2 linked regions of the Oreochromis niloticus genome follow. The protein of the gene in region 2 purifies or fractionates together with the protein of the main gene of each other region. This does not show direct contact. Links are inferred from orthologs where the notes say so. Each region holds a gene or a part of one and is shown on either strand. Other genes may lie near its edges.

Region 1 (3,753 bases), on a different chromosome or scaffold from region 2:
CAATGTGTTTCTTTCCCGTGTCTGCATGTTGTTTAGATTCTTGAAGAGTCAGACATCGACAAGGACGGAACTGTGAACCTCTCAGAGTTTCAGCACGTCATTTCAAGGTCACCAGATTTTGTCAGGTAACTAGAAATCCAGCTGCTCCAAATACCAATAATTATTTGCATTTATAAGTGTCCAATTGATTCTCATTTGATTTATCCACAGTTCCTTCAAGATTGTGCTCTGAAGACTTCCAGTGGACCTTGGAGATGCATGCACCTTTTTAATTTTAGTGTATAATTTTAAATCAGAACAGTTTTAATTACTTGCCTTAAATTATATTTACCTGTGGATTTTGCTGCCTTAACTGTTTTATGTCATTTGTCAAATATAAACCCTTTTTAAACATCTGTTTGAAGAAAAAATAAAAGTTTCACCAAAAAGTATTGAGTTGAGTTTTTATAGAGAAAAAAAATGAACAAATAAATTTAGTTAATTCTTTGTGTTTGTAGGAGAAATTTACAACTGTCGTCCAAAGTTCACTGTGCTTAACAAGTGCATTTTGTGCTATTTTCAGCACAAGCTACTTCCTCCTTTACAGCTGCAGCAAATGTGTTCCATGTCCCGCACACCACATCAAGCACACGCATCTGCTCAGCCCTGAAAAACTCCACACGCTGCGGCTCATCTGAACTAGTTACGGTTTGATGTCCAAGCTGGCCGTATTCCCCTGGAAAGGTAATAAAGGCAAAGAAGCCTAAAATCTCGGCATTCACTTTGATTTGAATGATGCTGCTGTGAGAATTTCACTTAGATGTAACACGTTTCTAAAACCAAAACTCACCCCATCCCCAAGTATAGAGGTCACCAGTGGCTGAAAAGAAGAAATTGTGACATAATTAGTTTATTTGCTAGGAAATGTGCATCCCTGTAAAACAACTGCCAAAAGACATTCCTTACTTGTTACTGCAGCTGTGTGGCGGGAACCACAGCTTACTGTTTGGATTTCACATGAAGGAGAGACATCCAGCAGAGCAGGGAACGCCTGGATTGATATGAATACATCTTCATGCTCCTCTTCCTCCTTTAGCTTTTCATCAGCTGGTGTACTGGTATCATAGCACAATTCTCCTGTTTGATAAAGTCAGTGGTTCAAAATGGATGTAAAAACTGCCTCTTCAATATAACTCTTTAAAGCAGTGCACATTTCAGGACAGACCTGTTTGCTGACTACTTTTCTGCTGAGATTTCCTCAGACCTCGGGAAGGAAGTCCAAGCTGGCCGCTCTCATTCCAGCCCCACACATAAAGGTCACCCCCATCTAAGAACAAAAACGATCCTCTTCAAATCCTTTTCAAACCGAGTGTAACTTGTCCAAATCTTTATTTGACATTTACCACTAATGCAAGCTGAGTGCCAGCCTCCTGTAGCCACACGGGTCATGGACATCCCCCAGAGTGCCTCCACTACTCTGGGCTCCTCCTCAGAGGTGAGCACTCCATGCCCCAGCTGACCATGGCTGTTACATAAACACATGCACGCATAGGAAGATTAACTTATGCTTGTTCGTTTGTTTGTTGATTGTTGTTTATGCATGAAACTGCTGCTTCTCATATGTTCAATAAAGATATATGTGTAAGTGGCTCCACCTGCCCAGTCCCCAGCTGTACACTGCTCCAGTGGCAGTAAGAAGAACGGCATGCTCTGCACCCAGTGCTAGGCTCCTGGCTTTCAGGTGTCCTGGTAAGGTGCAGTAGAGGGGAGGCTTTAAGGCAATGTAACCCCCAGGGACCAATGGCAAATTCACATCTACAAAAAATAAATAAAAAGTAATATTGAGACTCTGTAATTTCATACATCATTATTAATGTCTGTCTAGCCAGATAAGATATTAGCATACACATTACCAGAGCCCTCTGCGTGGGTTTTTATATCCATGCTCCATGATGGACTCTTCTCCCTCTTCTGCAGATCCCAGGTCTCAATCCTGTCTGGGAAGGCCAGGGTCAAGTGCGATTCACTGATGAATACATCTTTACAACCATAGCTCTCTATTTTAGAAATACCACAGTCCTCACTGGAGACCGATTCCCCAAAGCCTGCCAGGCTCAGGCAGCTGTCTCCTGACAGAAACAGAAAACAACAACGTAAGAGCTAAGCTAAAGCAATAGATGTATTAAAGACATGTTATTCCTCAGAACTCAGAGCGATGTCTTTGATACACTCACCATCTAAATGTAAAGATGCTCTTCGACTCCAGCTCACTCTGATCTGACTTGTCTTCAAGCAGCATCCACTTTTATCCACGTGACTGCTGAGCTCTGCTGGGTGAGTTACTTTAACTTGGTGGAGCGCGCTGCTACTTTCTCCTCTGCCTGACTTTTCCTGGACACGTATCTGTCCAAAGGCATTGAAGCCGAAACCAAACCAGCGCATCTGAACACCGTGCCGCTCAGCGGAAGAATCCGCAAACTTACCTGCGGCTGCGCTTGTTTTCGTACTGCAGGAGCACAAGCGGCGAGAGATGATGACGAGTGGCGAGGGAGGAGCATATGGTTTAAATCGTCTTTAAAGAGATAGACACCAAGTTCATGTTTATTGACAGTATTTAAGATGGGCTTTTTTGATACAGGTTGTTATGTATTACTGGCCTGGCTCACTTAGGTAGCAGATCAGCTGGACTGTACATGATCACTGAACTAAATTGAGTTTTAACCCCTGCCATAAATTATAAATTGTGCATCACAAACTTTGATAGGACAAAGTTGTAGAATGGCCATTTTAATAATATAAAAATACTCGGAGCAGTCAGTGGCCCCCCCCCCCCAATCCTCCTAGCAGCTGTACCTATGATGTCAATTTCAACATCCTATCTTTGTTCTCAGTTATTGCATTCACAATATTTTCTGAAAACTGAGATTCAAACTCAGAGATTTTTAGTAGATACACTTAAGGTATCAATTTGAAACTCCTACATTGCTTCATTCTAAAGTTATCACATTCAAAATGTTGGGTATCCTTATTGCCTGCCCAGCAGGGTGATGACAATGCCTTTCATGGTTGAGGGATAAACATAGTTGGGCATCCCAGCACTAAAGCACCATTATAAAGTACATCTAGCAAGGCTGGATATCAGATAAAGTAAACAGAGAAGTGAGGATTGGTCATTTTTATTTATTTATTTATTTTTATGTGTTCACTTAAAACGTATTAAAACAACAAAGCACACAGGGAATGTGTTGGACTGTCAATAATAGTGCTAACAAACATTTAAACAAAAAGTACATTTTATAGTGTAAATGAAATGTTTCTATTTTTGCTGAAAATAAAATAAAATATTGAGAAAAGTAGTGTGCACAATAAAAATAAGAACGTATTTGTGGGACTAATGACAGTCAAATTAAATATTTGCACATATATAGGAATGATCATTTTTAGTGAAAATACATGGAGGAGAAATGTTGGTCTCTGGGTGGAATATGCACTTTTGCCAGACTTTAGCAAGCATACAATCAACGTTACACAGCAGTCAAAAATCATTTGTGTGCTGTTGGTTCTTCCATTTGATACCATTCTTCACCACATCCCTTATTGCTTTTAATCATTTTTTGTTAAGACATGAGCCCATTTCCTGCAAAAATGAAATTACTTCACTGGTCCAATATAACGTTCGAAGTTCTGAAACACTGTCAGGTGGCACATTCACACACTGCACTTTGTGTTCAGGGTTCAGTTCCTGAGCTCTTCTTCTTTTCTTCCCTGCTTCTG
Region 2 (3,753 bases):
CATCTGCTTTACATACAAGAGCGGCTGTGCAGTTTGCACTGAGAGAATATTTGAATTTCATAGAGTGTTTGACATTTGATAATAGTGCACTGTGTTTATAGATTCTAGACTTCCCTGCCGAAGGTTTCCTATCATGCTTGTTCAGGCTACATACCCCCTAAAAAAGCAATATAACTGCCCTGCCCCTCCAAATATCTCTGTGTGACATCAAAAAGACAAACCCAAATATGGTTTCACTTGAGCTGATAAATATCAATCATCCTTCTTGGAATATCTGTGTTTACATAAATCGTTTCGAGCAGTGGGAGCAATTAAAGGGGAGGAAAAACAAATAGTTGTGTGCTGTCATTTAATGTGACAAAAGAGCTGGGGTCTCACTGCAAGACAGTCTATTGACTGGACTCTGTCATTTCACCTGTTAAGCCAAATTTATAATTGTATGTAAATGAGGTGGTGCTGTCACCAGAGCGCTGTTTCATTTTAACTGAGCTTCAGAGCATCTGGTTAATCATCTAAAAAGACAGAAATGAGACAGAAACGGGTTTTAAATAGCCAGTAGTCTGAGAGGTTGTGAGCAAAAATGTGCGTGTAGGAGTAGGATATGCGTGGGAGTGTGTATGCTTGGCAGGAAACTGGCAACACATGACAAACAAACAGGGGTGTGCAGCGCGCCAGCTTGACTTGGAGAAGGGGAGGGCGGGGGGTCGCAGAGTCCAAGGACTTAGCAAAGTGCCATTTAATTGAATGCCATCCTGCCTTTGCATTGGGACTGTAACCTCACAGGTTAGAGGAAGTGCAGATGCTGCCACCATCTACTGGACCACAAAGGGAATCCCAGTTTCTGCCTTTTGAGAAAGAAAAGAAAAAGCTTAAGTTCTTGAAAATAAATAAACCATAAAAGCAATATTTTGTCATTATTAATTTGAGGGGATCTGTTTTTTATATATAGCTTTGAATATCTACACTGCAGCGTGGAACCAATATGTTTAGCTATTCGAGTTTCCTCCCGGTGTGTTTTTGTTGTGCCACAGGCGTCAGAGTAGCGCGGGCGTGTGTGTGGAGTTGCTCCGTAATTTCACAGATATTATCGGATTATTGGTGTAAATGGCTTAGTAAAAGGTAAATGTGGCATTTTAGGGATTTAATTTGAACTTAAATAAGTCTCCGTGTTTACGAGTCATCGTGAAACATTGTCGTCAAAACGTTTTTCACAAGTGTGCAAAATTCACAGACTGCAAGTAACAGAAAAGAGACGAAGAATGACAGAAGGAAGAAAGGGATAAATATGGAAAACTGTAAATATTTTCATGAGGTCTGGTCCTCTATTTCTGTGTCCATAAACCTGTTTCAGGTATTAAGTGCGTTTCGTCATAGCTTTAAATGGGAAATTCCTGGCAAGCTTTATTAGCAAAAAATTAAGAACATTTGTATTTAAAGGAGTATATATCTCTCTGTGTGTATGTGTAAGTAGCCACGTTTTTAAAGCTACAGTCTTGCGTTCATGTTACATCTTTGTTTCTTGTGAGATTTTGGGATAAAATTGAGCATAGAGTGAATTGCACTGCGGGAGTCTAATCTCCGAGGCTTTAAAGAAAAATATAATTGGCTTTCTCCCGCTGCTGCATAAAGGAAAAAAATGAATGAGATAAAGTTCACTCTTTGCTCATACTTTGATGACTTCCATAATGAAATCTCACTGAAGGGACTGTAATTCCCCAAATATCCTATGTCGCTGGGGTTTCCATTGGATTTTTGGGTTTGCTGCACATGCTCTCAGCCCATGTGACTGTGTAAAAATCAGCTGGAGTGCACTCCAGGGTCGTGGATGGCTTAGGCATGTGGCATATCAAATGCTTGCTTTGTTTAGTCCAGTCTGCCTCTGAGTTCACAGGGCTGCATTTCTGTACTCAAATGAATCAGGCCCTCGGAGTTGGCTGCCTCCTGCTTTGGCATCATCTCCAGCAACACAGACCATCCAAACGCTGATGGAGTCACATGGAGGCGGAGTTGGCGGCTCCAGAAACAATGCGGCAAAAGTGTTGTTTTCATGCATGTGTCTCGCCCCCCGGTTCTGGCTCAGGATGCCCTCACCTGTGTTCTGTTGTTGCCAGTTTAGTAATTAGTTGTATACATCTGTTTCACAGCACCAAAGAGGCTGAACAAGCGTACTGTGTATTTGTGCGACAATGGCAGGCGGTTTTAACAGTTGGTGGGCTCAATAACCAGCTAAATACATAAGGAGTCATTAAATTACATCCCTTCCCTTTAAAAAAAGAAAAGTCAGTGAATTGGTGAAAGTGAGCCTAAATCTGAGCAAATTTAACTTCTAAGTGCTTCATTATAAGAACTTGAGTTGACACTTCACTGTTAACCCTGACTCACTTTCATTGTTCATTTGACAGTAAAAATAACGACCTTCTCGTCAATGGCATCGCTGTGGTCAAAAATCTCTCCAGTAGTGCCTGCTAATGAAGACCAGTTTCCACTGCAATTCAGTGACAAAGTGGAGCTGAGTGTGGTGGAAATGCTGCAACGGTCCAGGAAGCAGCTGTACAGCGACATCACAAGTTCCAGCCGGTTGCTTAATGCTCAGATTATTTTGGACATTTCATGGGAGAAGCTCAACACCGGAACATGGCGGCACGTGGACAAGGAGTGGAGGCGCGTTTACTCGTATGGCTGCTTCTTCAAAGTGGCGGCACTGTGTTGTGAAAGTCCGTCCGAAGACAAGATCCTGGAGGCTGTTCGGACTTGCGACATGGGTCTAATCATGGGCGCGGCCATCATGGGTGATATACTTCAGGTTATTGTTCGGATTCTGCAAAGTCACATAAGGACATTGAACTCTACTAAAGAAGAGGATGAGAGTGAACGTGCTGAGGTCAAGGTCAGCGATTTTTTTTCTTTCATCTGAAATGCACAATTTTCTGTCAGTCCTTTAGTTTATTTAGTAATTACTAACTGTAAGTTCTACTAGTTAGAAAACATTGTTGTACATTTCATTTAACCTGATTCATTGTTCGAAGTAATAGTGACTGATGGGGACATTTCAGAGTAAATCTTCTGGACGCTTAGAAAAGAAATTCCTCTGTGACCTTCATTTTGTTGCACTCCATCAGATGTCACTGAAGATTAAGTGCAGCAACTTTTCAAATGTCAGGTCACTTTGTTTAGACACCATCTAAATAGAGATGGAGAGTTTAGCGCAGGGCTGGCAGGATTTTTCTTGCTTTTTTTTCCCCCTTTAAAAGCTATCATCTTAAAAAAGCTGTTGAAATATTCTACCCATCTGTCACGAGCTGCACAGTGGGGAGTGGGGCTGCAACTAACAAGTATTTAGAAATTTTCTTTAATTTGTTCTTGGTTAATCAGGTCAAGGAAACTGTAGAAAGTAGCAACACATTTCCCAGAAGCTTAAAGTCATACTATGATTAAATTGCCTGCCACACTTACAGTACAAAAGAACACTGAAATCAGTATAAGCTGGAACCCAGAGAAGACTTAATTGATAGTTGTTTACTCACATCTGTGAGATATAATCAAGGACTTGTTTTTCTTATCGTTTTCCTCTAAAGGTTGAATTGACTTTTTTTTTTTTTTTTCATTTTGAAATCATTTTCAGAGAATAAAGATTGAAAGCCCGCTTGTCTCTGCAATCAAAGAAGAGTTGGCGGTTCCCAGGATAAGGTGTCCTTCACTGGAAAGTTTCAAAACAAACTACCTGCTCCCCCTCAAACCGGTGATTTTAGAAGG

Evidence for each region. The genes of interacting proteins can lie anywhere in the genome.
Region 1: the proteins of kdm8 (region 2) and rccd1 purify together in Homo sapiens (co-immunoprecipitation; 3 studies listed by BioGRID and IntAct, counting the BioPlex papers as one, with this or other methods). This does not show direct contact. The link is inferred for Oreochromis niloticus from reciprocal best matches to the Homo sapiens genes KDM8 and RCCD1.

The regions. Positions count from the first base shown.
Region 1 is NC_031972.2:57,591,355-57,595,107, forward strand, and holds rccd1 (RCC1 domain-containing protein 1), read right to left. Parts: upstream 2,534-3,753; 5' UTR 2,422-2,533; coding exon 2,214-2,421; intron 2,109-2,213; coding exon 1,893-2,108; intron 1,795-1,892; coding exon 1,635-1,794; intron 1,505-1,634; coding exon 1,383-1,504; intron 1,307-1,382; coding exon 1,205-1,306; intron 1,117-1,204; coding exon 946-1,116; intron 860-945; coding exon 830-859; intron 716-829; coding exon 534-715; 3' UTR 233-533; coding exon of another isoform or gene 211-232; 3' UTR 208-210; downstream 1-207. Other genes in the region: cib1 (calcium and integrin-binding protein 1), read left to right, coding at 37-125, 211-232; unc45a (protein unc-45 homolog A), read right to left, coding at 3,708-3,753. UniProt on the Homo sapiens protein: Plays a role in transcriptional repression of satellite repeats, possibly by regulating H3K36 methylation levels in centromeric regions together with KDM8.
Region 2 is NC_031969.2:25,122,249-25,126,001, forward strand, and holds the start of kdm8 (lysine-specific demethylase 8), read left to right. Parts: upstream 1-1,008; 5' UTR 1,009-1,285; coding exon 1,286-1,295; exon of another isoform or gene 1,296-1,351; intron 1,352-1,383; exon of another isoform or gene 1,384-1,459; coding exon of another isoform or gene 1,460-1,463; intron 1,464-2,402; coding exon 2,403-2,887; intron 2,888-3,622; coding exon 3,623-3,753. UniProt on the Homo sapiens protein: Bifunctional enzyme that acts both as an endopeptidase and 2-oxoglutarate-dependent monooxygenase.